Linked DNA regions of Schizosaccharomyces pombe. The gene in region 4 interacts genetically with the main gene of each other region. Each region holds a gene or a part of one and is shown on either strand. Other genes may lie near its edges. The genes, in order: SPOM_SPBC1604.12, SPOM_SPBCPT2R1.01C, sgt2 and ung1.

What was found.
Region 1: mutations in ung1 (region 4) and SPOM_SPBC1604.12 together harm fitness more than expected from each alone (negative genetic interaction), as found in Schizosaccharomyces pombe (one large-scale study listed by BioGRID).
Region 2: mutations in ung1 (region 4) and SPOM_SPBCPT2R1.01C together harm fitness less than expected from each alone (positive genetic interaction), as found in Schizosaccharomyces pombe (one large-scale study listed by BioGRID).
Region 3: mutations in ung1 (region 4) and sgt2 together harm fitness more than expected from each alone (negative genetic interaction), as found in Schizosaccharomyces pombe (one large-scale study listed by BioGRID).

Annotation. Positions count from the first base shown.
Region 1 is NC_003423.3:3,908,135-3,917,461, forward strand, and holds SPOM_SPBC1604.12 (uncharacterized protein), read right to left. Parts: upstream 3,412-9,327; 5' UTR 3,342-3,411; coding exon 759-3,341; 3' UTR 501-758; downstream 1-500. Other genes in the region: mrpl32 (mitochondrial 54S ribosomal protein bL32m), read left to right, coding at 4-315; atp17 (F0-ATPase subunit F), read right to left, coding at 4,033-4,269, 4,322-4,375; srb7 (mediator complex subunit Med21), read right to left, coding at 4,916-5,166, 5,219-5,248, 5,302-5,395, 5,437-5,478; exoribonuclease Rex4, read left to right, coding at 6,562-6,594, 6,669-7,418; importin alpha family nuclear import signal receptor adaptor Imp1, read left to right, coding at 8,492-9,327.
Region 2 is NC_003423.3:4,503,348-4,510,678, reverse strand, and holds SPOM_SPBCPT2R1.01C (uncharacterized protein), read left to right. Parts: upstream 1-3,205; coding exon 3,206-3,695; intron 3,696-3,753; coding exon 3,754-4,073; 3' UTR 4,074-4,162; downstream 4,163-7,331. Other genes in the region: SPOM_SPBCPT2R1.02 (uncharacterized protein), read right to left, coding at 1,870-2,229; SPOM_SPBPB2B2.19C (transmembrane helix domain-containing protein), read left to right, coding at 5,735-6,769; SPOM_SPBPB2B2.18 (uncharacterized protein), read right to left, coding at 7,015-7,152.
Region 3 is NC_003424.3:3,625,638-3,633,250, forward strand, and holds sgt2 (SGT2 family TPR repeat-containing protein), read right to left. Parts: upstream 3,319-7,613; 5' UTR 3,250-3,318; coding exon 3,147-3,249; exon of another isoform or gene 3,107-3,146; coding exon 2,486-3,106; exon of another isoform or gene 2,438-2,485; coding exon 2,208-2,437; 3' UTR 2,038-2,207; downstream 1-2,037. Other genes in the region: protein Rqc1, read left to right, coding at 1-1,907; DNA recombination mediator Swi2, read right to left, coding at 3,536-5,704; noc201 (Noc complex Noc2 family subunit), read left to right, coding at 5,899-7,613.
Region 4 is NC_003421.2:601,265-608,875, reverse strand, and holds ung1 (uracil DNA N-glycosylase Ung1), read right to left. Parts: upstream 5,903-7,611; 5' UTR 5,840-5,902; coding exon 5,613-5,839; intron 5,556-5,612; coding exon 5,223-5,555; intron 5,156-5,222; coding exon 4,747-5,155; 3' UTR 4,472-4,746; downstream 1-4,471. Other genes in the region: U3 snoRNP-associated protein Rrp5, read right to left, coding at 1-2,539; protein Spo13, read left to right, coding at 4,004-4,019, 4,071-4,471; DNA repair ligase Lig4, read left to right, coding at 6,073-6,304, 6,349-6,359, 6,447-6,509, 6,550-6,649, 6,715-6,811, 6,851-6,936, 6,991-7,611. UniProt on the Schizosaccharomyces pombe protein: Excises uracil residues from the DNA which can arise as a result of misincorporation of dUMP residues by DNA polymerase or due to deamination of cytosine.

The DNA.
Region 1 (9,327 bases), on a different chromosome or scaffold from region 4:
AAAATGGCTCTTTTAAGAGGAAATTCTTTGGCAATTAGCCAAAAAATGTTATCAGTTTTTCAAGCTAGCGCCCTTCCTCATATTTCTTTGAGGATATTTATTTCCCCCCCTTCAATAGCTAATATATGGAATTCCATTTTGCTTGCTGTTCCAAAGAAAAAAACTTCTTATACTAAGAAACGAAGTCGCTTACTGTCCGGAAAAGCATTAAAAGACAAAACAGTTAATCGTTGTCCTATTTGCGGGTCTTTTAAATTGGCACATCATTTATGTTCTCACTGTTTTAGAAATATTCGTCGAGAATTTAACGAATGAAGGGCATTAAGCATTTCTTCACTGATTTAGTGATGCTGCAAATCTTTATTTTAAGAAAAAAAATGGACTTAACATTAAATATAAGGTTGTTTCATGTAATAGTATTGCAGTTAGTGAATTGAATCTGCTCGCACTACTTAAATTTTTTCAGTATTACGATTAATGAACTACACCCTTTTTAAAAATACGCGTATAACAAAGAATTTTTTTACTTAATTTTATTTGTTGACTATGTACGGTTGAGTATAAATATCATATATTATGCAAAAGAATTTAGAGTGAAAAAATAACAAAAAAGCTGAATATATCTCTTAGCTTTCATCCTTTTTCAATACACGTTTATGTTGTAAGCGTGTAAATAATATTAAATGCATCGAAAACACAAAAGAGACTATAATCTCATGTAAAGTATACATAAACGATAACAATAAGAAAAAACCAAGCTAGTTTTTCGCCCTCCATAAACCGGAATCAATTCGTTCTCGGCGTTGAGGATCATAACGATTAGCGTTCATTGAATTACGAAAAGAGCGACGAGCCACTTGAATTGTCTTGCTACCTGGAAGACAAACAGTTACACGCAGTGGATGAGTAGGATGAATTCGAAGGGGTTGTTTGGAAGATGAGCGGTATATAGGAACCTTCTCCTCTAATGGTTTCATTTCCTCTAATTTTAATGATTTAGTAGGAAGAAACCGCTCCGGGTTCACTTTAGGCAAATGTAAATTCAAAATAACATCGCCCTTCGATCGCTGAATTCGAACAGAATTTGCATGACTAAGTATCAATCTCGATGATTTTAAAGAGCTCGTTTCCGAGGATACTACATAACTACTACTTCTGGTATCACGACCTTTGGAGTGGCTGTAAGAAGAGGATGAAGAAACAGGTTGACCGAGAGCATTAGAATTGCCAATGCGTGAAACTCCTCCATGTTCGTTGGGGACACGATGGGGTAAATGAGCATTTGCGGCCACCCCACTTTGATAGGATCTCTGTTTATATAAGTTATTGTCAAAAATGACATCCTTTATACTTAAAATAACTTCATCAATACTCCGAGACTTTCCATGTTTCGGGGAAGAAGTACTATCATCAGATTGGGGATTCAACTGTAAAGGATCATTTTTATCCGACGTAAATAAAGGCGAGACTTGAACAGGAGGAATTGGATGACTATGACTTCTCCATGAAAGCGGAGTAGAATCATCTCTGGGGCTAGAAGGATCAATTTCTGTTGTCTCTTGGTTACTATGTAGTCCTTCGGGACTATTGGTAATAGACTGAGGCTCTTTAGTGTATATTGCTTCAACTTTTTTGCTAGACTCGACATTGGAAGACCGCTCATTAGTAATAGTGGGTGAGGAATTCATCTTTGATGATGATATCTTTATTTCTTCAGCTTTTTTACGGGCTCGTTCTCGTGATCGAGCAAGTTCTTCTTCTTCATTCCTCCGCCTTTCAATTGCTTTCTGGCGAGCTTCGAGCATAATTTGCTGTTGCTCTGCGCGAAGGTCGTTGATACGACCAGAAGCTTCTTTGTCAAAACGTTTTTCATTATTTTTGTGGGCAAAACTTTCACTTGAATCGCTGACGATTTCTACTTTATTGATATGTCTTGGCAATGCCGTAGATTTTTCAACAAATTCCTCATGAGTGACATTAGGGTTTTTCTTCTCCTTTGATATTTGAGGTTTTTCTTTCTTCAGAAATGCCCTTTCAGTTGGTTCAGCTTCATCAGAAATCGTGGGGTTATGCACAGATACAGCGCTAGTTGGAGCATTAGGGTAAACAGGTTCAGGCAGTGAAACGGCCTCATCTGTAATATTAGAGTGTTCATTAATACTAGCTTCTTCTGGAACAGGGATTTTGGATGGAGCCGCAGAAGATACAGATTCATTCGAGGGTGCAGAAGGGACATGATTTGAAGCAAGAGTGTCTTGACGTTTCACTGGCTCATACCTCCTCGTTTTCGCATCAATCACGACAGTAGTTCCATCCTCAAATTCAATTGTGCTTCCCCAATCGTCATCGTCTTCGTCGTCAATTTCATCCCATTTACCTTCTGATAAGTGAGATGCTCGGCGAGCACTGGTTGGAGAAGGAAGTCTTGTAGGAGATACTTCTTCTGAAACAGGGGTGCCTGAATCTTGAAAATGTTTAGAAATTTTGCTAACACGGTCTTGTCGCTCTTCATCAACAGGTTGCTGGCGACAAGAAGAGGGAGCCGCAGAGGCGGCAAGGGCTTGAAGATTCTTTGTATCTATAGTTGAAAGGGCTTCATGAGATGGATGAGAAGAAGAAGAGAGAGAACTAGAAGTATCTAGTCCTTTAATGACATTGCCATTGGAATCATAAACCGTCCCAGTAAAAGATGCATAGGCAGCCGACATAGAATGGCGAGCAGCCGAAGCTGCTGCTGCTGCATATAAGGAAGGGGCGCTTTTCTTGTTATTGGAGTTATTGTCAATGCTTTCAGGAGAAGAAGTCCCAATAGAGGTTGGGTTAGAGGCCAATCTCTCAGCAGAACGAATTGCCCAAGGATTTCCTGGAGCAGTCCTTTTTCCAGTAACAGAGCTCCCTCCAGATCCTCCAGTACTAAGTTTTATGGATAAACGAACTTTGCCATGGGTGCCTAAACCACTCGGGTTGTCGATGTGCCCAACAGACTGCGACGAAGAAGAAATAGTTTGCGCGTTATTATTTGAATTTGTTGTAATATTTGCGCCAGTATTTGAAGGTGGCACGCCAGCATTTAAAGAAACGGGCGTAGTTTTCGGAGTGGATCCTGCCGAACCAGGAGCCGTTGAAGGTGGAGAAGAGACATCGACTTTCAAAGAGGATATTTGATTTGTCGAAGTATTACTCGCTCCATTCACCGATCCTGCCTTCCCTAAATACGCCTTGTTCAGTGAAGAAGACTTAATTTTCGGTCGCTTAAATATTGAAGATAACGTTTCCGCCGGACTTTCCTTGCTTTCATCTGCTGATTTTATAATAGGGTCATTTTCTTGAATTCTCTCCATGACCTATTGATAGAGACGTTTTTCTCCGTTAACCGGAATGTGTGGTACACAAATGGTGTTTTGAAGAAGCAGAGAGGTAGGGGCTTTCTCTGGGTGGAGCGTTAACGCACCGTATGCGAAGTATGCTCGCTTCACTGTTAATGAGTAAAAGTATATAAAATAATGTCATAAATAAAGGAAAAGTCTTACAAAATAATAGAAATACATCAAATTACATGTACACACGTTCAACTTTTTACAAGTCAAACTACCTAAATTAAATAGAATAATGGATTTTAGCTACACAACTTTAAAGAACTAAAGTAATTAAGCTTTGCTAAAGAAGATTGAGAGAAGGGAGCGACATCAAGAATCTTAATGTTGTTAAGAGAAACTTGGCATATAAGGGGCACACTCAACAAAAAGATAGAACAAACCTTTGTAATGACATACCATTGTTAGTGGAACTCAGATCCAATAACGCTCTGTCAAAATCAGGTTTAAGACTGTTCCCGTTAGACTAAGAATCCCTATTGTTATTAAGATTGACCATTTATAAACGATAAACAGCTTTGTAGTTACTAACTTTCTTAAACATAAACAAGAAATCAACAAAATGAGATGATCTCTTGGACTACGTTTGAAAAATAAGACCTAGAAAAATTGTGTTCATAATTGTAGGTTTTAAGTAAAGGGAGCATAACATTTGAGCTTAATGTTCTTCATGATGACGGATATGATAGTAATATTCGCTGGCATAAGAAAATACCAAAACAGCGCCGACCAAATGTAGCAAAGGAGCACCGCTAGCATTCTTCCCAAGATACTTTTTATAGTACCAACTAAAGAAACTGTTTGAGCTCTTTTTAGGAGCTGGTCCATGCGGTAAGCGGGAATAAAAATCGACAATTCTTCCCATCCTAGCAGAGCTAGGAAAAGCATTCAAAGCCTATCTTAGTTAGATTTTCGTTTATATTTATCACTTTTTTAATTAATCTTACTGTAGGATTCGCTACTTGAGGGGGAATAAACGATTTCAAAGGAAATGGAGCCATGATTACAATTAAGTTAAAGTGAATATGGTGATGTTCAATTCCCGTCGTATATAGCAAAGGAACTTGCAATGAATGGTTAATGGATTTTTTTTTTCTTAAACAAAAATAGCGTATTGTTTTGTAAATTTCGTTAAACGTTCTAAAAAATCAGGGATTTTTTTCTTTCTTCTATAAGAAACTATCCTTGCTAATTTGCTATTTTTTTACTTTTCAAATTCTGTTTGTTATTAGTTTATTTTTTAAGACTTCATAGCTGCTTTCACAATTAGTTACTTCAGTCAAGTACTCGTCAGCATGAAGTAAAGGCATTCTAAAAACTACAAGTAGATAGATATTTATGTAAATCGATTCAAAAAGATTAGCTCGTTAATAAAAATGGAATCATTTGTCAAAACAGTATATCTAAGGCTGCCCGTATGATAAGCCCACTTCCAGCGATCACATCTTCTTTCTTAGCTCAGACAAAGATATTTTAAAACTTCAATAAATCTGGCAACTAGAAGAGTATGCTAGTATGCATATTTTGCTTACATATTATCATCAGGGCTGAAATAGGACACATGATAACCGGCCAAATGTTTCAATCCTCTTGGCCAATTGTAATTTTAAATCTTCATTTTCTGATTCTAAACTCTTCCTCTCCAATTGTTTTTCTTCAATGGAGTTTTGTAACTTTTTAATTTTCTCTAATTGATGTTTTGGTGCAGTGGAAATACCTGGAAGTTGGTTGATCAAAGTGTCTATTTGCATAAATTTTGTAACCAAGTCTTTTGCTAGATCCCTTTGAGCGACTACAAAAAGAAGTTAGCACATAAAATGACTAGAGGACGTCTAATATCGTACATTGTAACTCTTCAGCAGAAATTGGGTTCACTAATAATTTGTTAGTAGCTACTTTGAATAGCATCATAATGAATCTTGTATACCTTTAGAATCAGAAACCTTTTCTTGACCAGGTAAAGGAACGAAATCATGATGAGAACTTAAATAATGAATGGAAGAGTAAAATTGTGTGGCAACCTACATAGGTTAGAATAGAAAAAGAAAACTAGTCCCATTACCTCATCAATTGTATCTTGAAGCTGAGTACACCTACATGCCATTTTTTTATGTAGGTGTAATATGAGTTAAAAAGAGTTGAAAGTCGCAAGTTGTTGAAGGTCCATGATGCAGGTAACAATTGTTGAAGCGCAAATGTCAAGAACAATAAATCGCTAATTAACTTTTCTGTTATTTCAGCATCGGATATTTATTATGCACAGCTTTTGATTTTATGACATTGTTTGTAATTGTAATGTATCGACCTAAAAACCGACTGTCTAGCAATCGGGAAAAAGAATTAAGCTAGAATCACGCTTGACATAAGCAAAAGAAATTTAACATAAAACAGTACATAAAATTTAAAAAAAAATTAATGGAAAGCGAAAAAAAATAAACTACAGAAACTACAGAATCAGCTAAGTATTTTTAATTAACATAGAAAAACAATGATAATAGTAATACATTCGACATATTTATTATATTTTTGATCGTGGAAGGGTGTCCGAGTGGTTATGGAGCTAGTTTAAGGCACTAGTGCGAAAGCTCGTGGGTTCGAGTCCCACCCCTTTCAGTACCTTTTTGATAATCCATTCATTCTGAGTGTTTTCATATTACGTGAAGGTGCATTGTTATTAAAATTGCAGTACTCTGCTTTTAAAAAGATAGCGGACAATGCTACAAATTCAATACAATCTATCCTTTTAAGCAAACATAAATCACTAAATGTTTAACGAATATGCTACTACGGGTCTTGAATATTCACAATATTCTTTTATTAGGAAATGCATTAACCACCGGTACCTTATAATATTCTTACGAAGTGGGTACACACTGAAATAGCTCATTGGTGACCCGAAGAACGGAGGTTAATTTATTTCATAGTCTCGTATATTTGGCAGTAGTTACATCAAGAAGCAACAAATGGTGCATCACTGTCAATATATGTATATATACTATAGATAAATAAATACAAGGCATGTGACTTATATAATGATACTTAACGTAACGTACTATCATCAACGCTTTATTCAAAATAATGAAATGTGCTAAAATGTGATAAAATATTTGTGATACCGCGTTGAGAATCATATTGAAAGAGGTTGCAAATTGCTTCTTGCACCAACTTTGGCTCTTATGCACAAGCAATGTCTTCTTCCAATTGGGAAAAGTTAAAGAAGGTATGAAAGGCTATAGTTTCCATTAAGTCATTTAAGATTCTTGTTTAAGTATACTAACGGTATTGGTTGTTTAGAAACTCGACAGCGCTAAGAGTGGACGGGTTGAAAAAAAGCATTCTAATGAAAAGAAATACCTTAAAAGTGTGAAAGGTAAAAACAATGAGAATGAGAATTCTTATATCGTCGATAAAAAACGCATGAATGAATTAAAGAAATTTGCTAAGGAAAATGATATCCCTGAATCTCAAGTCCTTGACGCATATGGCGTGGATGCTTCCAAGCTTACCAGAAAAACCAATTTGGAAACATTGGGGAAATATATTGCAATGGATTGTGAAATGGTTGGGGTGGCAGATGACATGTCAGTTCTTGCACGCGTCAGTATAGTTAATTATCATGGTCATGTCGTGTATGATACTTATGTCCGTCCTAAAGAAAAGGTTACGGATTGGAGAACATGGGTCAGTGGTGTCAAGTCATTTCACATGCGGGATGCACCTTCATTTGAAAAAGTACAAGCAGAAGTTGCTAAGATACTCGACAATCGAGTATTGGTTGGACATGCTGTCCATAACGATCTCAAAGTACTACTTTTATCGCATCCAAGAAGAATGATTCGTGATACCAGCAGATTTTCTGGGTATCGGAAATTAGCCAAGGGAAGGACACCAGGGCTTAAAAAACTTGCTGAAGTGATTCTTGGGCGTGACATTCAATCTGGACAGCATTCTTCCGTCCAGGATGCCCAAGCAACGATGGAATTATATAAGAAAGTAAAAAAAGAAATGGATGAAGTTGCATTCAAAGGTTTGTCAAAGTCATAAGCTTTGAATCACTAGACTTCGTTCTGGTCATTTGGGATTTGGGTTTAATAATATGCAAGAAAATGTTTCTTATAATTTTACTGGATATGTGTCAGATGTTAAATATATTTTCGGTTGCTTATAACAGCAATATTGTTTTCATTGGCTCTTATGAAATCGTTGGTTTTCTTTCTTTATTTATCTCTTCTGTTTCCTTCGTTTCTGGTTTTAAATAGTCAATCTATTAATAATTTTTAGTATAAATAAATGATGCATACAACTGAAGGAAAGAAATAATGTATGGAAAAAACAAGGATATAGAGATTTATCAGCTTCGTTTATATGGTCTTCATAATTACTTTGTGAATTAATAAAGTTAATGTTATATAATTAGATTACTTCCTATAGTGTATATGATTTAGAGCATTTTAACTGAATGACGATAATATGTTTTCAAGCGCCGTTAAGTTAATTCCTAAATTTATATAAATACCGAATTAATCTTTATTATCACAAAAAAAATAAAAAATATATATATTAATAATAGCTACCAAATAAATTCTAGTTAGACAATGGACCATTAATGTATACATATTAATAGCTTACAAAACAGATACGGAAGTGTTTGAAAAATAAGTATTTATTCAAAGATTAAATTGCTCAACTATATGTATTATATAATCAAAATAAAAATAAAAATAGGCCAACTTGACAGGTTGTTTAAAGAAAAATTCCATTTGTTTTTAAATTTTGAATTCTTGTTATAGCATTCAGCTTGTTAAAAACCCAAGAAAAATTGGTTGATGAGCTCAATAAGCATGTTGTTTTACCCGTTTTATGGTGCGAAGGTTTCCAATGACAGAACAAAAATGATCTAGAAAGTTTCAACGATTTGAACCGGAAAATGATATATTTCAAATTATTCTAAATTTATTATTTTTGAACATTGTTACCTGGGTGCCGGCTGCTTCTTGGAACGACACAAGTGCTCTTTTACCTCCTTATTCTCATTAAACTCGCAGCAACCACAACTGTCTTAGATAACTAAAAAAAAAAGAGTAAAAAGGATATCAAAAAAGTTTATTCCTATAGAAATGGAATCGAGATATTTATCAGATAGAAGAAGCCGTTTTAAAAGCAAAGGTGTTTTCAAAGCTGATGAACTTCGTCGGCAACGTGAAGAACAGCAAATTGAAATCCGCAAACAAAAACGTGAGGAAAGTTTGAATAAACGAAGGAATTTAAACGCTGTTTTACAAAATGACATTGATGTGGAAGAGGAGGCTGATCAGTCTCAGGTTCAAATGGAGCAACAAATGAAAGATGAATTTCCTAAATTGACAGCTGATGTGATGTCAGACGACATTGAGCTACAATTAGGTGCCGTCACGAAATTCAGGAAATATCTTTCTAAGGAGACGCATCCCCCTATTGATCAGGTAATTGCTTGTGGTGTTGTTGACCGGTTCGTACAATTTTTAGAAAGTGAACATCACTTGCTTCAATTTGAAGCGGCTTGGGCCTTAACAAATATCGCTAGTGGTACCACAGATCAAACCCGTATTGTTGTTGATTCCGGCGCTGTTCCTCGTTTTATTCAATTACTTTCTTCACCTGAAAAAGATGTCCGTGAGCAGGTTGTATGGGCCCTCGGTAACATAGCTGGCGATTCTTCTGCCTGCCGTGACTATGTACTCGGTAACGGAGTTTTACAGCCTTTACTTAATATTCTTCAGAGTAGCGCTTCTGATGTTTCTATGCTCCGTAACGCTACATGGACACTTTCTAACTTGTGTAGAGGCAAAAATCCACCACCTAACTGGTCAACTATTTCTGTAGCCGTTCCAATCCTTGCTAAGCTCCTTTATTCTGAAGACGTTGAGATTATTGTTGACGCGTGCTGGGCCATCTCCTATCTTTCTGATGGACC
Region 2 (7,331 bases), on a different chromosome or scaffold from region 4:
TCCATATCAGTATTCGTACTTATTGCTGAAGAAGACATATAATTCTGATTTATTTCTGCAGATACATGTATTCATGAAACCTAATGTAAAATAACAATCATCTCCGGCGCAATCGTCAATGCACTAAGAAGAATTCATAATCTATGTCGCTAGTCCCACGCTTGCTTAGTTCAACAGATCGCATCAAGTTCTGCTTGACAAAGTGATTGTATGGTATTCCGTTAAGTAAATTGCAAGCAGGTAAAGATGTCAATCCGGAAAAAGATCGAAAACTAACATGACCAGTAATATTGTTACGTCGTTCACAATCAATAAGTGCTCTAAATTTTACTTCAATGAGATTCCTAATTGTCAAAGGCATCAATCAATACGGTAGTATTGCGTACTGTTTTGGAATAATTCATAAGTGACAAATGTAGTTCTAATCTCAAAACAATAGAGAAGTATGAAGAAAGGTTGAATTGCAGTATTTGATTCCTAGTATCGTACTGAGTTGGAAGTTGTTGGTACGAGTAGTACTAGCAATAAATCACAGTGATATAATACGTTGTAGAAGTAGAGCATTACAATTCTACAGATAATATGAGAGTATAGTATACGAAATAATCAAATTGTAAATATATGTGATGATAAAATATTGAGTTCTACTGATCTTTTCTAATAGTCGCTTTCAATGGGTATTTTTGAAATAGACATGTAGCCTTCCGCAATTATTGGCGAAGAAATCTTGGTATTTTAGGTATGGCATATGGTGATGCACAACGAGTATATCAAGGTGTAGTGTAGTGTAGTGTAGTAATATTGCTGACGTTTACTATTGTTAGCTGATACTAATAAAACAACATTACTGATAATATAGTGTGCGTGTTATTACTTTAGTATTATCGTTTTGAATGTTTGTCAACTTTCAATGATGTAGGAACAGAAAAGCGGTAGCTAAAAATAATATCGATAGTGTTCAGTTTCCAATGGAAACTTTTAAGCTGTACTTAGATAATGAAATGATATAAGAGCAAACAGATGTATAGCTTTTTTTTTTAGGTTTTTTGAAATAAATTAATGAAGAAATATTATTGAAATTTAAACATAAATATACTAGCTACTAATAAAAAACCGACAAAATATATTGTTTCAAAGAGCAATAGTTAAACATGTAATCATTTTCAAGCTTAAAAATGGCGACATATAACCATGTTTATCGAATATGTATGTAATGTATGTAACGGTTTGCTTCTTTCAATTTTTTTTGTTATTTTTATGACTGAATGTCAAATACTTTATAAAGAAATTGTTAATCATGATAGATTCAGTCCACCAGTAGTACACAAAGTCAGCTGCCGCTTCAGTTGGAAGGAATAACAATCAATATGTCGATTCTGTGAATCTTTCCTTAGTAGGATGACTGAATGCTTTACCGGAATTAAAGGGACTGAACATTTTTTAACTGCTGTATTAAATACTACTTTTACATATCGCTGTCAATCTTGCAACAGTTACGCTATACTATTAAGACAATGAAGTTAATGCTTCTCTTAATCCTTATAAGTTTTCATTTTTCTTCATTTATCGTAGGTATTACCCTCTATGCTACATTTCCAATTTAAACTTTACACAATTAACTTGGGTTGTTTTTAATTGTTTTAAAACTTCAAGTGTTGATCTTTATTATGGACAATGGGATGCAATATTAACACCCAGATCCTCTATCACTAACACATACTCTACGCATTCCAGCAGAACCAGGTATAACGCCTGATACTTCAGGGTGGGTGTTTGCTCTTGATTGAGAACAATCATCGATAATAAGCCAAAACATCACATGCTAGATCTCAGTAAGACACGCTTTTACTACCAAAGGTTTGTATAACATTACCCCCCCCAATCACCTCTATAGTCGGCTGCTAACGTGGCTCCACCTCGGGCTCCAACAGCATTGGCTCCAGTGTCACAGTCATATGTGCTTGCCATATTTGTACTATGACATTGTGTGGTGTATCGGTCTCGCTTCTTCAGCAGTGGTAATCCATTAAGCACATCATCTGTCAAGTTGATTATCCATGTAGCATCATCCGCAGATTGAGTTACCAAAGTTCTGAGTAGAACTATCCTGGAAATCTCTCCGTCATTATAAAGTTCATGGAGATCAATCAATAACTCGTGAGTAACGTTATTAGTTGAATTGCTTATAAGCGGATTATCGATATATATATGGTTCATTAATGCAGTCATCTTGCTAGCATTATATAATTCATTTACGATATATCTGAATTCATAGTGCTGTGTAGTGTTATCTGGAGGAAATTGGGCTACCCAGATTACAGCTGGAGCGTCTTCGAGGTCAGTTGGAAAGCAACTGATTAGTGTAACCAACGATAGATAGCAACGTAACTAATAATAGCAATCTCATCGGTAAAATATTAAAAAGAGGATGAAGATAGTTCCAAATTTCTATGATATTGACGTTCTCTTGATCGCTATATATTACTAAGCCTCAGAGCATACAAACACCTACTTACTGCGGAACGAAAATAAGGGTTATAGGATAATCCTTTGTATGATCCCCTGGATTAAGCATAATCTCCTATACAATGTATGTAGGTCAACAATACTACTAAATACTACTACGTTGAATAACACCATACGTCAAGTGTTCTATATTTGCTCTATTAACTTTCCACTCTGAGTTATAGAGATAGACATATTACTAATTATGCAGGATATTTAGAAAAATTTTTAAATGCTATAAATTGAGAAAAACTGAAAAATAAAGAACGAGGTTCAGCAATAAGCTACAGCTACTTTAGTGATTAGGTAACAATTTAATTCATATATAAAAATATCAATAGCAGATGCTACTTGTATTACTGTGTACTGTAATATACTAGGTCACAAGGAAAACACATCGTACTTAAACGTATCGTTAAACAGATACCAAACTGCGTAGCTGTTAAATTGTGAAAAGAAAAAAGTTGTAAGGATTACGAGATGCCAACATCATAATGCTTTTCCTAAATAAATGAGACACCTCAGAACGTAAAACATTCACCATTTTGGTTTTTTTTTTTTAATTTTCTCGTTTATGGCTTAAAATATTTTAGTATATTTTCTTTTTTATTTTCCATAAACCACTCTTTTTAATTTTACTTTGGGGAAAAATACTAGTGAATCAGAAGTCATCAAATTACAGTGCTGTCGTTCTATTCCAATGTCAAATCCAGAAAGCTTGAAAAAACAGGTTGAACCTCCTGGTTACAATGAGTTATTTATGGTGGAAGATGTTTGTAATGTGGACCTAGAGCAGGGACTTGATTTGTGTAAGCCTGAAAAGGTAAACAAACAATCTCAACGATCTCGACAATCCCGACAATCCCTCTTTACCAACACCATTAAGCCTCAAAAAGACAAGATGAATATTAAAACAAATAAAATAAAAGAGTTTTTAAATGACCTTTTTACTGAATTTTCTAAATTCCACAATAGCTATTATCCTGATGGAAGGATTTCTACCCGCAGTAATTTTCGTTGGCCCTTGCTTATTATTTGGTCTATTATCATTGTATTCGCAGTAGACAAAAAGTTCGAAGTCCAAAAGTTTCTTTCAATTTGGATAAATGAAAATCGGTTCTACAGTGAAATTTGGGTGCCTATTGCTATTTACGTTTGTTTGCTTGTTTTAATGTTACTTAGTTTAATTTGTATGTTTCCTTTATAGTGATGCTTTTTTTCTTTTTTTTTGCTAATAATTTAAAATAGTCTTTGCAGAGTTTGCGGTACTTGCTTTACGGGTGACCGGTGTGATTATAGCAGTCTTGGGTATGATTATAGCAGTCTTGGGAATGATTATAGCAGCCCTGGGTGCAACTATAACTGGCCTTTTGTATTTTGGTCATTGGGCTCTTTACAAACTTGTAATATTGTCTTTAGGCTTTAAAATTGTGACACCAGGAGACGTCTGTGTTTCTAACACTCTTCCTACACATAACGGAGAAACAGCATTACATTCAGAAACAACAGTTGGTTCTGATATTGAACAAATAGAACTACAAAATATGCCTACTCCTGTGAAAAAATAATTTTCTTTATCGTTTTCATGATCATATAGAATATAACTATTCTTAACAATGTTCGAATTGACTGTCCTGTCCAAATCATGCACATAAGGTGCGTTCGTTATGAATTTCAATTATGGAACCAAACCAAATTATGGTTTTAATTAAGATATTATCACTTAATGTAACTAATGTTTTTATCTTTCGTTTCATAATTATTCAAATACTAAAAATGACTTTTTTATATATTTTTTTTTTAAAAGCTTAAAATATATTATATTAAATAAAAAATTTCGAATTGAACCAATTTGGACTCCCACTTGTGTTTCAAAAACTCCATTTCATCTACTTTAACCCAAAATTCAGCGTCATATTCACTACAGGAAAGGAGTTTTATTCATTATCTGTTAGTAGAAACAATTTGGTTTCAATTTTTTATGACGAAAATGCTTCGAGTTAATTTAAGGCTTTGTTTGAAATATAATTCGTTTAGTGATTATTCGCTTAGTGATTATAGATATCGTTCTAATTTTCAAATTACAAAATACTAAACAGCTTTATTTGAATAAACAGTAAAAGATTCTAAATCTTTGGACTACTTTTAAATGGTTGACAGACCAGAAAAATTTGAGAAAGAAAGTTTTATAACAAATCGTCTTATTATCTATCTTGCCTAAAAGGAGTGATCAACCTTGAATGACAGAATTTATTTTAGGTCGATAATGGTTGGACGGTGGTGTGGTGTATGCTTGCTAAGCGAAAATATTGCAGGACATAAGTTAGACGAATTGAATTTTCTACGTTATAATCTGTTCTGGCGCTTGCTCGCAATCGTAAAAACAAACTATTGAAATTAAAAAAAAAAAAAAAAGATTGGTAGTGTACATGCTGAATTTCAATCTATGCTTTAAATTAATAATTGCTAAATTCAAAAAAAAACGAATGCTATCTCTTTATCCACTGGTCATTACCAGTTTTTTTTTTTTTTGCTATATTTTTCTTTTAAAAAGCTTCTGTATTCTCGGGATATTACCAACGGCGTTATTAACTCAATCATCGAATGAAGTACGAGTACTAACGGAATAGAACTAGTCAACGGTGAATGACTTTATCTTTCACGTTCCATACTTAACAGATTTTTTATTATATTCAGTAACTTGTGCTTGTACAATTTAAATCTTGAAGTAAAGGTATGATGCGTGAACAAACCATTTATTTGTGTTCTTTTCCCTCCAATCTTCCCAATGTTTTAACGCTAACGTTATGCAACGTGGAGCACGGTAACTCCAAAACGAAAGATATAAAAGGCTAATCATTCCTGATCTGCTTTTCCCTTGAGCAAGCATCATTTACCAACTTTTTTAAAGATGCGTCTTCATAAAACACTAGCATTGCTGTTATGCAACCTAGTTCTCCATACTCTAGTTAAAGGTGAAGTAGACGCCAAAGCAGTATCTATTACTACATAAAAGGAAAACTCTACCTTGTCAAACCATAATGGACTGCCTAAAGAAGCCAAAAAGCTCACTCTTAAGTGCAGTTGGTTCATTGTGGAGGAATCTAACGGTGCCAGAATACATGCTAATTTTTTTGCACAAAGCTTCGATAAAAGAGAAATTGCTTTGTCTTTTTTTGAAGCAAATGAATGGCAAAATATAATTGGCTGGAATGATCAAGTTGAGGAGATGATTGACTTTGTAAAATCAAGAGACACGGTGATCCAAAAATCTTTTTTTGAGGAATTTAATTCCCAAAACCGAGAGATGGGATCATTTGCATATTCTGGTAACTCGGAATCGGTATGGACGGGCGAAAATATTACAAGTATATGGAAAACTATTTTGATTAATGAAACGGGTTCTTACTGCGTAGCTGCGAGACCAATGACAATGGATGGAGCTGAATTTAATTTAGACCTTATGGGGTATTCGGTTTCAGAAGATCAAATTAATAATGACGAAATTGGCATTTGGAACTATATTTCTGTAGCTGAAATGGGAGGAGTACTATTATTTTTGAGCTATTGGATATGGACTTGTTTACATTTCAGCAAGATTATATTTCCTGCTCAAAAGGTAATCTGCCTTTATATTTTTCTTTTTGCGTTAAATCAGACTCTACAAGAATGCATTGAGGAGTATGTTTTTTCTTCCGAATGTATAAAATACAGACAATTTTATTCGGTGTATGAAATAATTGATTTTCTTCGGACAAATTTTTATCGATTATTTGTGATTTACTGTGCATTGGGTTTCGGCATAACTAGAACTGTTCCTAAATATCTTATGATAAAAGGAATTAGTATTGTCATTGCTTTATGTTCTGTATACTGGATTTCTTTATATAAAGACGTATATGTAGTATCAGAGATTTTTGACATGATCCAGTATGAGGTATCTCCTGCAATTTGGGTGTATTCTATTTGTCATTTATTGAAACAATGCACGTCTGTAACAACTTACGAAAATGCTTCAAAAGCCAGATTTTTTAGAAGAATGCTAAATGCATTTATCTTTATATTCTGTGCATCTCCAATGTTGCATTACCTGTCGAATATTATATTTGGAAACTTTGATTACAGACTGTCGGTGATCATTGGTGATCTTTTCACTTTTATGGAGAAAATTGCTTTTCCATGTTACATAATGTTTCCCACCCATAATGAAGCACTTGCCTACAATCGAAATGTAGCTGAAGAGGCTCAAGAGAAAATGATTTGACAAAAACCATGGTTTACTTGATTCACCTTTAAAGGGGTTACCGGGATTATTTTATTTATTATTTGTTTATCAATGGATTAATATCCAGTTATTTTAATCTCACTTTTTTACACAGAAATTGTGTAGTAAGTTCATTCTTATTTAATATACCACCTATTTATTTTTTACAAATGAATATTTTTTTACTGGAACGTTTTAAATACACATAACCTTTGAGTCGATGTGAAATAATGTTTTGTTCAAACTTAAAAGTTGCGAATCTGACATATAGACAAAAAAAAAATAAAAAGAAAAAACTGGTTACCTTCATAAACATATTTTGCTAATTTATTGAATTTAATTATTTTCAACTTGCTTTCCCATTTTCCCAACAATTTTTTTATCTATAATATATATTTTACAAAATTAATATAGTACATCGCATGGTTTTCTTTAAAACGACATAAACGTATAATAATAAACGGGGATTCAAAGTAATAAATCGAATCCAAATCAACTTTCAAATACATCCATTTCATCTACTTTACCCTTATATTCCCCTTCATATCCCCAACAAAAAACA
Region 3 (7,613 bases), on a different chromosome or scaffold from region 4:
TAGACAGTGAATCTGATGAGGATGACGAGTTTTCTTCAACTTCCGGGAAAAAAGTAGTAAACGTGTTCGAAATTCTCGAAAAAGAAAATAATGCTATTAACTCAGAGGCAGAAAAAAGTGTTTCTGAGGAAGAGCAGGATGAACCATTAGTAGAAGGCGAGTCTCCAATTGTCTCTACAAATAAGAAAGCAAAAAATAAAAAGAAAAAGAAAAAGCAGCAGAAGAAGAAGAAAGTCACTGGAAAGCGTGATTTAGATAATCAATCTTCTGATAATGAGAAATTGGAGGGACTTGAATCAAGCAAAAACATTGATGATGATATTGATGAAATAGAAAAGGCTGCTGCTGAATTAAAACTTAAATATCGTGAGCAAGATCAGGTTGAGCATGTTGCTGGTGTCGAAGAATCTGCTACTATCCCGTTAGATAAAGAACTTGATGAAAAATTGAATAAGTTATTGGGTGTAAATATTAGTATGTTAAATCCTGATCTTGAAATACGTAAGATTTTTGGCCGCATCGTTGAGAAACGTTCGGTCAACGCTCGACATGATAACCTGCGGAGGAAACGCCATGTTTTAGTACAGCCTCAAGAAGGATGGCCTCCTTTAGTAAGATCTGGACTTGGAATGAAACTTACCGGTCAGTCACAAGACTTAGAGTGCTTTTTTGAAATCACTCAGAGTCGTGCTTACCAGGAAGTTCAAGAGACATTCGAGTATTACGTGCAAACCTATGACCCTAATAACCTACTTATGCTTTTACGCTCCCATCCTTTTCATATAGACACGTTATTACAAGTTTCTGAAATAATAGATCAGCAGGGCGATCATGAACTGTCAGCAGAGCTTGTTGCCCGCGGTCTTTATGCTTTCGACAGTATTCTTCATCCTAGATTTAATCTTGCAACTGGTGCCACGCGGCTTCCTTTTGCCATCCCTTCTAATCGGCGTCTTTTCCTCTGTATTTGGAGATATTTACAAAGTCTACAAAGCCGGGGTTGTTGGAGAACCGTCTTTGAGTTTTGTAAAGCTTTACTGCAGTTCGACATGTCAGACCCCTACGCAATTGGTACTTGTATTGATATATATGCACTTCGTCGAAGAGAATTTGCTTGGATAATTGATTTTGCGAATTACCTGGAAAATTCAAACAAAATTTCGGACACGCCAAATATGTTATATTCGTCAGCACTTGCCATGTTTTACGTACATGGTGATACTACCGACACACGAGCGAGTATGCTTGCCGCCTTTGAACGTGCACCTTACATGCTAAGTGAATTGTTGGACACTTTGAATATCTCTTTCACAAAATCCTCTATTCCATCCCCTCAAGATCCAGTTCAAGAGTTACATTCTGCTATGTATGCTTTATATGCTAAGGATAGCTGGTCTGATCCTACGGTATTAGCATTCATTAATTCCATTCTTGAAAAAGAAACCGTGACCCTGCACGATGTAGAAGGACAATTCGCAGAACTCACTGAAAATCTCTCTAGGCGTGTTATCCTGTTAAATGAGCAAAGCTTGAGAAAATTTCTACCACAGAGAATCTTGCAAGGAACTATTTTATCCTTTGATCCTCTACCTCCTGATACATATTTAAGCGAGTCACAAGTCTTTGGTAGAGATATATCTCGTCGAATTGCGTCGTTCTTGTCCGATTATTTATCCAGAGCAAGAGAAGTTAATGAAAATGAGGAAGAACCCCCTGCTCATGAGTTTGATCTTCCTCCTGCTGAACAATTGCTACAACAGATTGAATCGGAGGTTGGTGAAGAATCAGAAGATGGAACTCCGGTGATGACCCGACTACGTTCATTTTTTGGAAGCTTGTTTACATCAACAAACTCAGAGACGGAACCTGCAGAAGAAAGCACAGAAGAGATGGGTCAAGGGGATTGAATTATTTCAAAAGAATTGTTTAATGAAGTCCTTATTTTCATACAACGAAAGCTATTGTAAAATTATCAATAAAAATTAGATGAACTATTTAAAAATAATACGAAAAACGATGCAAACGCTACTGTAAATACGGTAATCTTAACAAACATGTACAATATGATTGATTAGCAGAATGATTGTATATGCAAGGTACTAAAAAATGTCAAAGCAATTCTTCAAGTATTCAAAATGAATTTAAATGCAAGATATAAACTGCTTGAATGAAAAGCAAAAACAAACAAATCAATATACACCTATACTTTATTGAGGGGGAGGATTTCCTTGGTTATTGTTATCAGTGTTGCCATTATTGTTATTGTTCATAAAATTGCGAGCCAAATTTTGCAGTTGGGGGTTATTGGCAAGAGAACTCAAGTCAGGCATACCTCCTCCAGATTGAAAGTTACGGGCCATGTTGGCAATATTAGGGTCATTCATAATATTATTCAAAGCACCCGATTGCATCAAGTTACGCGCCATGTTCATAACAGCTAAAATCACTTATTAACAATGAATAATGTATACACTAAAAAACTTACCAGGATTGTTCATCAAAGAACCTAAATCAGGCATACCTCCTCCAAAAATGGATCCAAGATCAGGAGCGGCACCAGCAGAAGTGCGAGCTTGGTCAGCTCCAGAAGTAGCGGATGAATCCGATGGTTGATTCAATTGCTTGTTAGCAGCTTCCAAACCTCTCTTTAAAACCTCATTATTGGGATCAAAGTCTAAGCCCTTCTTATAAGCATCAGCTGCCGCTGCTGCATCGCCAAGTGACAATTTGGCACGACCAAGTCGTCCAAAGGCTCGAGCATGATGAGGATCTAAACTTAAGCATGTTAAAGCATCTTCTACAGCATTTTCGAATTGCCCTAGCTGATTATACGCGGCTGCACGATTGGAGTAGTAAACTGGAGAGGTAGGATCGATTTCTATGGCTTTAGTGTATAAATCCAAAGCTTTTTGATAATCCTTTGCCGCAATGGCATTATTTCCTTCAAGTTTTAATTTCTCAGCCTCTTCTTTATTAACATGAGCAGTGGAATCCTCCTCCACTGGATGCAGTTTTTCGTACTCCTCAAAAGCAGCAACTAAACGATCCCCTGACTTGGGCTTAATTTCTTCTGGTTTGATTTTAAAAGAATCTTGAATACATTGAGCTGATTTTGGTTAGATTATCTTAAATGGGGTTACACATACCAGCAACCTCCAAGCTTTCCTTTTCTTCTTCAGAAATCGAACCGGTGGTAATAGCTTGCTTCAAATAGTCAATAATAGCCGCAGTAACTTTGTTAGAGCTCATTTTCCTAATCGTTTTAAGAACCGATTTTTTTCGTATTACTGAAAGTATATCGTGAGATGCGCGAAGGGCAAAATTATTCCAAGCGCCGTTATAGATTTTTATATACGTAAACATGCAAATAATAAAATGAATTTTTGATTCCTAATTATATTGCTATTAAAATAACATTAGATAACTATAGTACCTTTAATGTGAATCATGAACTGTAAAATACTGATATGACAAAAAAAAACAAAAATAGATAGAAACAACAGACAGGAAGCAAAGAAAAAACTAAAAACATATATTATTCCAGGTCCCAGCTTTCTGTCTCAGAATTATATTGAAGGAGATGGAAGGGTATTTGCAACTGTTCAAGGTACGTACCAATGGAACATGGCTTGGTGCGTAAATCATTAGCTGATGTGCGTAAAACAGACTGTGGAACTTCTTGAAGCATGGTTGTAAACTTCAAAGAAAAAACAGGAAATAGCACTTCGACTGCTAATTGCGCAGATTTTCGCCAATTTTGGATTTTTCTTTCAACCACCTGTATCTGTTTAGAATTTTTGTCAGTGTCAAGAGCGAGCTCTACAACGGATAATTGTTCTTTCAAGCCACCAATTTCTAATTCAAGGTTACGGATTCTGTTAATTAGTTTGCTATCCGTTTCACTTGGAGCAGTAGCCATTGAGATAGGCTTGGCACAATACAGCCGTTCAGGTGAGGAAACAGTTAAGCGGGTTCGCGAAATCTTCGAAATCGGAGGATGAAATGGTTTAATGAGAGCCTTTCGTACAGACATTTTATTAACATTCTTAAATGGCCGCGTAATTAAATCTTTGTTGACCCCTGGGTGCATAGTAGATTTAAGAGATGGAAGGCTTCGATTTATCAAAGAGGTAGAAAGACAGACATTAGAATAGTTTGGAGTATTGTTCTCATTGGACAAAATAGTATTTTTATAGGTGTTCGGTTTAATAATATTAGAATGGTTTGAATGATTATTCCCAATTGATAAAACACTGTTTTTGTATGAATTCGGCTTAGTGACATTAGTACGATTTTTGCTATTATTTTCATTCAACACAGCTTCGCCTCTGTTGGAAACCATTTCAGTTTGTACTTTCCCATACAATCCAGTCCAAACATTCTCCTTCCGAGATGCTAGAAGATCGACCCTCTTATGCTTATGGGAGGTAGCAGACTTAGGGGGAGTGTAATCATAGTTAAATTTAATACTTGAATTAGGAATATGCGTGGCTTGTTGTTCAGACTCATTGATGCAAGTTTCATCAAAGTCTTGATCTACACCGTAGGGATTCAACAAATCTTCTTGATGTTGAGATTCAGCTAGTGGTTGCTCAAGTCGACGTGATTGTTTCCGTTCTTCTATTGCCATTTTGTTAATGGTAATTAATGAATTTTCGGAAAAAGTTGGCTCCATATCACTAGGTAATGGAGAAATGTCAAAAATAGTCGGCTCACTAGACAATGGATCTTGACCAGTAGAATCAGAAGTTAAATCAGGGAAGTCTTCATCCTCTCTTGATGGCTCAAAATCAAATTCCTCAGAACAACCATTGTTCCAATCGATATGATGAGGTAACGAGGGCTCTGTATATATACTAGGTTTTATGGTAACCGGAATGACTACAGCATCGAAAACTTTTCTCGGTTTCTTAATCCTTGGAGACAGAGTAGGATATATTTCCTCCTTTTCAGGATACTTCCTCCAGCCTGTAGGTCTTCCCCTTCTTCTTGGCAATCCTTCCTCGAAGTTCAAATCTTTATTAACATACGAATACTTTCTTGGCCTTCCTGCCCTATGCTTCACTCTCGTCATTTCTCTTTTCTTCAGCATAATCAGTGCGGCTTCAGAGTCTGCAAATGCAGGGAATAGATTAGTATCGTCTGTAAAAGCCAAAGATTTAAATATAGGATCGAGATCACACAGCTGGTTCCAACCAAAATCACTTTCCGAATAATTTTGGGTTGATAATTGAGATTTACAACTTTGTGAGCTTAACGGTTCAATAACCTGATTATTCTCGTTAGGAAGAGTAACCAGTGGTTGATTTTCAGATTTATCTTCAAAGTATGCAAAGTCTTTATCATTCGAGGACACATGGCCGCTAATCTCTGGGTGGTCATCACAATGGGCATTGTATTTCACAAAAGAGGGAGATTCAGTTTTTGGATCAGGAGTCGTTGTACAAAAGAAAGAATCTGTGATAAATTCATTATTCATTTCATTTAAAGAAAAATCTCTAGAAAAGGTTCCCTTCATCTGGCTTGCTTCTGTTTGATTCATCGGTTTACCATCAGAATAATAGTATTCTACCGGCTCAAAGAAATGGGATCCAAGGTTTGAGCCGACGCCCTTTCCTTGCTCAAACCTTTCATTGTCGTTAGAGGAAATACTTTCAGATCCGGTGTTTACTGGTATCGACTCCTGCTTTTTGTTCACATTCATAAGGCCTATAAGGTTTCTCACGATTCTCAAAAAGCAAAATTCTGTTCAAAGCAATATACATTTAATAAATTTGCCGGAGTATGATTATTAAGGACATATCTTTGGTGTGGAAATTGTGAAGAAATTTGGACTGAGTATGGTGGGCACTAATTCTTGAAGGAGGTATTCTAACAACCTCTGTGCACATACCACACATGGTGAAGTTATCTTCCATTATAAAAGCCAGAAAAGCTAATGCTTTGGCTAAAAAGAATGACAAAATAAAAAAGAAAGACACTGATAAAGGCATACGACAAAAGCATTCTAAAAAGGAGGGAAAAGATGAAACATTGAAAAGAGACGTAGAAAAGTTTATTCAAAACGTGAATAGCGAAGACACCCCTTCTGAAGATGACTCCATGTCAATGGATGCTTTTTTGGAAGGCGGATTTGAAGAATTAGACTCTGCGAATTCGAATGATGCAGGTTCCTCAAGAAAAAGAAAAAATTTGCCAAATGAAAATACACAAGACTCTACCTCTGAATCATCGGAAGAAGAAGAGGATGGCTTGGAATCTTATCAAAAGCAATTGGAAGGCCTAAAGGAAAAGGATCCAGAATTTTACAAGTTCCTTGAGCAGAATGACCAAGACTTGCTTGAATTCAACGCCGCTGAAACAGACGCAATGGCGAAGGAAATTGATGAGAATGAACGTTTGAAATCTTCTAGCGGAAAAATCGTTCTGACAAGTGATACAATTCAACAATGGCAAAAGCTTTTGGAGACGAACCATTCATTGACCACACTACAAAAGGTCGTGCAAGCGTTTAAGGCAGCAGCATTCTTAAATGAGGAGGAGGCTGAAGATTTGAAATACACTATTAGCGATTCAAAAGTTTTCAATGACCTCTTGTTGTTAGCCATCCAGTACGTCCCCAAAGTGTTGAATTATCATGTTCCCATTCAAGAGGATGCGAAAGGAAAAAAATTTATAAACACTGATTCAAAGGTGCTTCCGAAGCTACGCCCTGTGTTAAAATCCTATGGATTTTCGATTTTACGTTTGCTAGAAGGGATGACCGATGCCAAGAATATCTCTTTACTACTTCGGGAAGCTCAGAATGTATTGCCTTATATGATTACCTATCGAAAATTCCTTAAACAGTTTACACAGGCAACTGTTGAAGTATGGAGTTCGACTCGTGATGACAGCGTTCGGTTTTCAGCTGTTGTATTGCTTCGTACATTATGCTTGACAGCTGACATAACTCTGCTGGAATTCGTTTTAAAAGAGGTTTATCTTGGTATGGCTCGACAATCAGCTTACACTACCGTTCATACACTCGATAAAATTAATTTCCTGAAAAATAGTGCTGTTAATCTTTTTTTATTGGACGCTGAATCATGTTATTTAATCGGATTCCGTTACATTCGACAACTTGCTATTACTCTTCGTAACACCATTCATCAACCTAGTAAGGATTCTCGAAAGCCTGTTCAAAGCTGGAGTTATGTGCATTCTCTAGACTTTTGGGCTCGTTTATTGAGTCAAGCAGCCTGGTTGAGTAGAGAAAAGGGAGTTGCTTCAGAATTACAATCTTTGGTCTATCCTTTAGTCCAAATAGCCCTTGGAGTTATAATGAGTTCACCGTCATCGCAATTATTTCCAATGAGATTTCACATCATCCGAAGTCTAATTTACTTATCGCGCCATACTGGTGTGTTTATCCCTCTTGCACCTTCGCTATTCGAGGTCTTGGATTCTTCTTATGTGTCAAGAAAAGCCAAAGCTAGTACGCTTAAGCCATTGGATTTTGACGTTGAGTTGCGTGCATCTTCGTCATACTTAAGAACAAAGGTCTACCAGGACGGTTTAATTGATCAATTATTGGAACTCTTGAGCGAATATTATGTTTTATATGCCACTGA
Region 4 (7,611 bases):
ACTTGCTTTCCATAAATTCCACAGCTTTCTCCTGTTTCTGCGCAAGAGGCTTAAATGACATAAACGCCTTTTCTTGTGAAAGCTCTACGGACAAACACACACAGGTAACGGATTGCTGGGGTTTATAGACTGCTGAAGGGACTGGCACATACTCTTCAGATATATAGGCCTTTGGAACTAATGCTACTAAACCGTCACAAAACTCGACAAAAACGCCAAATGTAGTCGCATTACGCACGAATCCAAAATATTTAATACCTTCTTTAAGATCAGTGATATTGATGGGCATCCGATTTTCCTTGGCAGCTTCAACAAGGCTTTTCTTCAATGACAAGGAAATCAACTTTTTACTGGTGTCTTTACGAAGAACTAAGACCTCAGCAAGCTTGGTAGAAGCTCTTAATTTATTCATGACTTTAGAGCATTTATTTAAATCTCCATCGCAAAGTTGGCCAAGGGTAATCACACCAGTAACCTTGTCTCCTAAATCAACGATCACGGAATCTTCGGTTTTCTGAAGAACAATACCTGAAAGTACGGAACCCGCTTTTATGTTTTCAAATCTTTCAAGTCTTTTAGCATCCCAACTCTGCTCACGACAGCCGACACGCATTTTACGATTCTCTGGATCACAACTGACGATAGTAACAGAAAGTGTTTGCCCAACTTTAAAGTGTTCTCTAGCATCACGAATGTAAGCTTCGCTCATTTCCGAAACGGGAAGAAAAGCACGGACACTGTTGTAAAACTCAACTATAGCTCCATCTTCAAAAATACGAGCAAGAGTTCCAACTGTTTGTGTTCCTGGGGTAGCTTGTTCATAGTCATATATCAATGGCAAATCTGTGTTAAGTAATGATTTTTTGAGAGTTAAGAGGACACGCTTTCGTAGAACATTCGTACTTAAAACACGGCATTTTACGGAAGAGCCAACTTTAAAACGACGTTCAGGAAACTGTAGGGCTATGTCAGCCATATGGGTAGAGGGAACTAAACCATTTATACCTTCCGAAATAGTTACCACGATTCCTTGAGGTATAAGCTTCGCAATGGTACCATCGACAAATTGACCGACTTCGATATCCTCTATTCGCAAAAACTGCTGGTTTAATACAGATTGTTGAAATGACAAGATATATAAATTATCAACATAACTGTAATTAATGATTCGAGCCTCGTGGGTGCTATCAACTTTATAGGGGCCAGAATTGGGACTAATTCCAGCAACCTTTTTATCGGAAAGGCGTGAAATGTGAGCAAATCCGGATATCTCAGGTACACCAACATCGCAAAAAACGCCAAGTGAGGAGGATACATACGTAACCTTAGCAGCATTGACGATAAAACCAATATCTAGTTGATCGGGATGTGGAGTATTGGGAGTTGCGAAGTTGAAGGTAAGCACGTGAGGTAAGAAAGATACTGCAATTTTAGGGGGATCACCGGGAATCACAAAAAGAACGCGAGCAGGAACAGATTTAGCAAGCTGGAATTTATCTTCTAAATCTTCCCCTTTCACGGGAGAAGAATGATAAATATCACTAGTGACATCTACTACACCCATATATTTTGCAATAACTCCGCTTTCCTTGATGTCCGTTACCAAAACATTTATATAGTCACCAGGAAGAATAGCTTGTACAGAAGGCATAACCTCAAGCGCCTTAGTGGATGTCGCAGTGAGAGAAAGATGGAAAATTCGATCTTCTTTTGAAATAACGGAACACAATAAACTTTGGCCTTCAACAAAAGGGAAATCATTTATGTGTTTTTTGGATAAAAAACCAGTATAATTATTAATACCAATATCAAAAACAATACCATGATCTTCAATACTTGAAACCACGGCCTGTATCATCGACCCAGCAACAAAATCCGCAGCCTCAGGAGCAGAACCGTTCGCATCTTGCGGCTTAAGACTTAGCTCGATGTGTCTTTTTCCGGTTTTTGTAGTATTTTCCGAGCCAAGGGCTGTAACAGAAACACGCACCCATTGACCAACTTTGTACAAATCCATCAAATCCGGTATTTGATTAAGACCGTCTTCCTCTTCAGTTGCTGCATTATCTTCTGCATGATTGTCAATACTATCCAGACGATCAGAAAGCTTATCGGAGATATTTGTGATAGGTACATAACCTGTCAAACAGTTTGGTAATGAGACGGCCAAGTCCAACGTATTTATTTGAGCAATTTGACCTAAAATTAAAGAGCCGGGTGTGATATTTTTATATCTTAAGCTTTGAATATGAACCTTCAAATTTTCTTCGTTGTCCAATTCGGATTTGGAAGATTTTTTACTACCCTTTTTCTTAGGACGAGTTTTTTTACTCAATTCAGCGGTACCAGAAGCGGACTCCATAAAGTCCTTCTTAGCCTCTAAAACAGCTTCTTTATACTCTAAAGGAGTCAATGAAGACGCCCCACCTCGAGGGAAATCTTGAGTTGCCTCGTTAGCACTCAAAGAAGAAATTCTCTCATTCCCTTGGGAATCCGAGCCTTCGGAGGCATTGCTCCTCTTTCTTTTATTTCCAGCCATTTACTTCTATGAACTTCTGAAAAGAAAGAACGACTGGAAGAAAGAAGCTTTTTATACAAAGTAGTTGGTAGCGAGTAAATTTATGCTGCTGCTACAAAAGAAATAGTCTAGGAAGGGTAACGCATCATGAGAATTTCTTTTAACGATGAATATTGTACTACGCAATAATATGAGAGTTGAGGAACTTAAAAAAGGTGCACAAACAATATATGCGATTGTACATGGCAAAAAACAGAAAAACTTACAAATTGATCATTTAATTTAATTTTTTTTCTTCTTAATTTTTTTTATCTTAGTTATTCGCACTGCATACACTATTAATTTCATAATGAATAATGCAAATGCCAGAATGCTTGTTGGTACAAGCAAATGAAACGATAAATCTAAATTTACGAAGCTTGGGGATGTTTATTTTTTTTCTTTGATTAATTTTTGTAGCAATGAAACAAAATTAGGAACAGCGCGGTTGTAAGTTTATTACGCCGGACATTTCCATGATACATAGGATGAAAAAATTGGCTATTACAATAGAAATACAATATTTATCACAGGTACAAAAAGAATTTTGCGTAAACCCTTGTTTTTAGCGCTTACCAGTTGAAATGGCATCGATAGTGAATGTCAAAAACCTTCTCCTCAATCTAAATGTTGACCGTCGAAAAGGTTATTTCCGAATTTCCTTTGAAATATTAATTTTTACCTCCATTATTTCTTTTCGTTACTTATAGCATTCAAGGGTTCAAAATTGTCTTGTAAGTTTTTATACCCTCTTCTATTTATTATTGTTCGCAGCAATTTTTTTAAGCTCTCGTTAGTTAGATTAGTGTTTCGTTTACAATTTTAACCCTACCCTACCCGAATGAATGTTTTGTTTACACTTTGGCAGGTTACAATAGCAGTGGACATGAAAATGAAATGAGGAATTGCACTCTGTAATTGTAAGTATATGCTTGAAGCTCATATAGAATATGATAATAAATTCAAAGCATCTTTATAGCTCAAGTATCTTGATTTGAAATCAAGGACCGAGAAATTGTTACATTTTGTTTCTTTCGTTTATTGTTCGATAATTTTTGTTGTAAAAAACGAAATGAGGCTCACTTAATTCTTTCCTGTATTGGGTAAAAAAAATTTTTGTATGAAATTGATAAAATAAATTTATTTCTTCAGTGAAATTGATTCAATGTTCCATAAATTGTATATTGAATGTATTGCTCATAAAATTCACGCAAAAAAATATAAATAAAAAAGAAACAAAGCAAACTGATAAAAATAATAAACGGATGATTCTTCAACATTAACGAAGTCTTTCTCCTGTTTGTTGTCATTTATATTACGGTTAACAGCCATATGTACTGTGTCAACAAATGACATTTTCTCTAAGCAAACAACTTTAAACCACTGTACTTTTGAAAAAAAAGTTAGCAATTAGTATTTTATAGGAAAGGAAAAAAAATTGAAACAATGATGAGCAATTCTCGTAAGGGACAACATGACAATACAATATAAAACAATTTTTTCTAACATGTAGAAATTTCAAAGCTTTTTAGCTCTATCTCTAACAAGGAAAATTCGAATGAAAATGCTTTAAAAGAAAGCACGAATAAACAATTAAACAATGCCAATACTTTAGCAATAACCCATTTGAAGGAACAACTTTCGAGAGAGGTTCAACGAAGAGAAGAGTTGGAAGGATTGCTTGAGCAAAGTCAGAAAGAAATGGAAGATTTATCGGTTTCACTGTTCACTGAAGCAAACGAAATGGTGGCCAAGGCAAGGCAGGATACAGAAGTATTAAAAAGAGAATTGGACTATCTCAGGGCAAAAGAAAAAGGACGTATTGGGAAACTAAGAAGCATCCAAACTGCTGTCCGAACTTCAATCGAAGCCAGAAAATTACTGAGTTATTCTAACGAATCAAATTACCACTGATTACATTAAGTCTTTAATAAATGTGCCGTTTACGATGGATTTGACATAAATATTAAACTTTAAAATGAATGATTTAAATGTTAAGACAAAAAAAAAATAAATCCTCTGCGAAAAGAAAGACATAGAAAAATAACACACATTAAGCAAGTCCAATTGTAGGTAGAATAAAGATAAGCATGCAAGTGGTATAATAAAGCAAGCATGACAAAAGAAAATAAAAAGCTTGATTAGACCTATTAGCATCCAGTAAACGAGCAATTATTTTCTGACTTTTTCTACTCAGTTGAAGAGGATTCCAACTCGCTAGACTTTATTTTTGCTTTTTGTTCAGAAACAGCGCTCCAATTGATGCATTTTTCAGGTCCATACTGCTCTTCGAGCCACTCATTGGTTTTCTTGAAATGGTGGCATTCAAAAAAGCCACGATGTGCAGAGAGAGGGCTAGGATGGACACTTCTAAGTACATAGTGTGCTTTCAAAGGAAGACCTTGAAGTCGCTTAGCTGCTGGAGTTCCCCATGCTAAAATTACAAGACCCTTGCGATTCCGATTCAACGCAACTTGCAGGACAGCAGAAGTGAAAGTTTCCCAACCCTTGCCAGAATGAGAAGCAGCTTGATGGGCTCTTACAGTTAAACTAGCGTTGAGCATTAAAATGCCTTGGTCAGCCCAAGGAACTAAATACCTGCTTCATTAGCAAAAAGCCAAATCTTAGAAAGAAAAAATATAAAGACTAAATAATTTTAACGTACCCTGTTTTCGGAATAACAAAATCAGGATAATCGATCTTGATGGCTTTATATATGTTGACCAAACTTGGTGGACATGGAATTCCTGGACGTACGGAAAAGCAAAGACCATGGGCTTGACCAATGTTATGGTAAGGATCTTGTCCTAAGAGAATGACCTTGGTTTTATGAAGTGGAGTATGATGTGACCATGAGTAGATATCTTCTTTCGGCGGGAATACACGTTGGCTTTGCCATTCCTTCATCAAAAACTCTTTCAGATTCAAAAAATATGGCTTTAAAAATTCATCTTTTAACGCATCAAACCAAGAACTCTCCAAAGTATCAATTTCTAGTCTAAATAGGTTAACAACCTTTTCCAATTTTCTAGCCTACATTGTAAGCAATACTTACTGTAACAGCTTTCTTTGAGCAGGAGTAAGATTTTCTGCCCATTTTTCTTTATTGAACTTTGAGACAGAGTTGTTCTCTTTATTATCAAGTACCTGAGTATCCTTTAAAGCAGGCGATGAGGTGTTTGTCTTAAAAAAATTATCCAAACGTGGCTGCTTTAATTTCCCGTCAAGTTTATTAACGGTATCATCAGCTTTACGCTTATCTGTAGTATTCAGAACAGTCATTTTACCTAACTTATTAGAAAACAGCTCTCTGCTCCATAAACATACTGTCCACCGAATCGTTGCAGAGAACAGGCTTTCATGTATGATAATTAGAAGTGTTCGTACTACACACTTGACACTACCACGATAATGAGACTAAATTGATGTTTATTTCTTATCGGTTATTTATTTGAGAAATATTATTGATCATAAACTGTATTATAAAACGATTGCTTCAAGCCAAAACCTAAGATATGGACGAAGCCAAAGAGACGGTATTTACGAAACCTCAAAATCATTCAAGCACCCTTGAATTCTATGATTTTGTTACAACATTATTGGAACCGTTATCAAGAATTGGAAAGACTAGGAAATCCAAAACATCAAACCTTGACCCTTATGAATTAAAGCGCAAAATCCTCTTGGATTACTTTAATAAATGGCGACAACATGTAGGACCAGATCTTTATCCATTACTTCGACTAAGTAATTTAATATTTGTATTTTATTCCTTATACTAACTAATGGAGTGCTTCCTGATGTACGACTTAAAATTGTTAGACCACTAAATCGCATTACATAAAGTGTCTTAATCGGTGTCTTGAATTTCTAATTGCTAATTTTCTAGTTGGATCGTGAAAGAGGATCATATGGGTTCAAGGAATTTGGGCTTGGAAAACTGTTTATTCGAGTAAGTAATTAAGTTGCAACATCAGTGACTAATTAACAAGGCTATGCATTTGAGTCCTACTTCTGAAGATGCAAAATCTTTGAAAAATTGGAGAGGATCCGAGTCCAAACATACTGGAGATTTTTCTACCATGTTGCAGGGTGTGTTCATCATAGTTTTTGTATTCCAATTGATCCTGATCATATTTTAACTGAAAAAAATTTAGATATTTTACAAAGAAGGGCATACAGGACCTTTCCTGGTGCCTTTACAGTTGGTGATGTCAACGCCCTGCTGGATCAATTAGCAGATGCTTCTTCTGAGTATGTTCTAAATTTTTTACCGTATCTAACCTTAATAAGGGATACCCGAGTTAATATTTTGGAGCAATTTTATAGATCCTTGAGTCCTCTTGAGCTTCGATGGCTAATTCCCATTTTACTGAAAGGTTGGTTGGAAATGATATTTCTTTATTTATGACCTAACTTTTTTATTTCTTTAGTTCGAAAATACGGAACATCGGAAAAATTCATACTTTCTGTGTTCCATCCTGATGCAGCTCGATTATATCGACTGTGTAGCTCCTTAAAGAGAATTTGTTGGGAGCTCTATGATCCTAGTCGGTCTCTTGATGAAACTGAAACAGATGTGGAAGTCTTTAGTTGCTTCCAGCCTCAGCTAGCCAATTTCAAAAAAAAGGATCTCCATCAAACGCTGGAAGCCATGGGAAATAAACCGTTTTGGATTGAAGAAAAGCTAGACGGGGAGCGTATTCAATTACACATGAGTTCAGGAAAATTCCAATTCTATAGTCGAAATGCCAGGTCGTACACTTATGCCTATGGCTCTAGTTATTTCGATGAACAATCTAGGCTGACACAATACATCATTGGAGCATTTGACAAACGTATTTCACAAATTATTCTTGATGGAGAAATGGTTACATGGGATCCAGTGTTGGAAACAGTGATCCCATACGGAAGTTTAAGAAGCATTTTTGAAGATTCTTCCTCTCATTCATCCTACAGCCCTTATTACGTTGTGTTCGATATTTTGTATCTTAATGGGAAGTCTTTGGTAAAGTACTCATTAGAATCAAGAAGACGAATATTAGAGAAAGTAA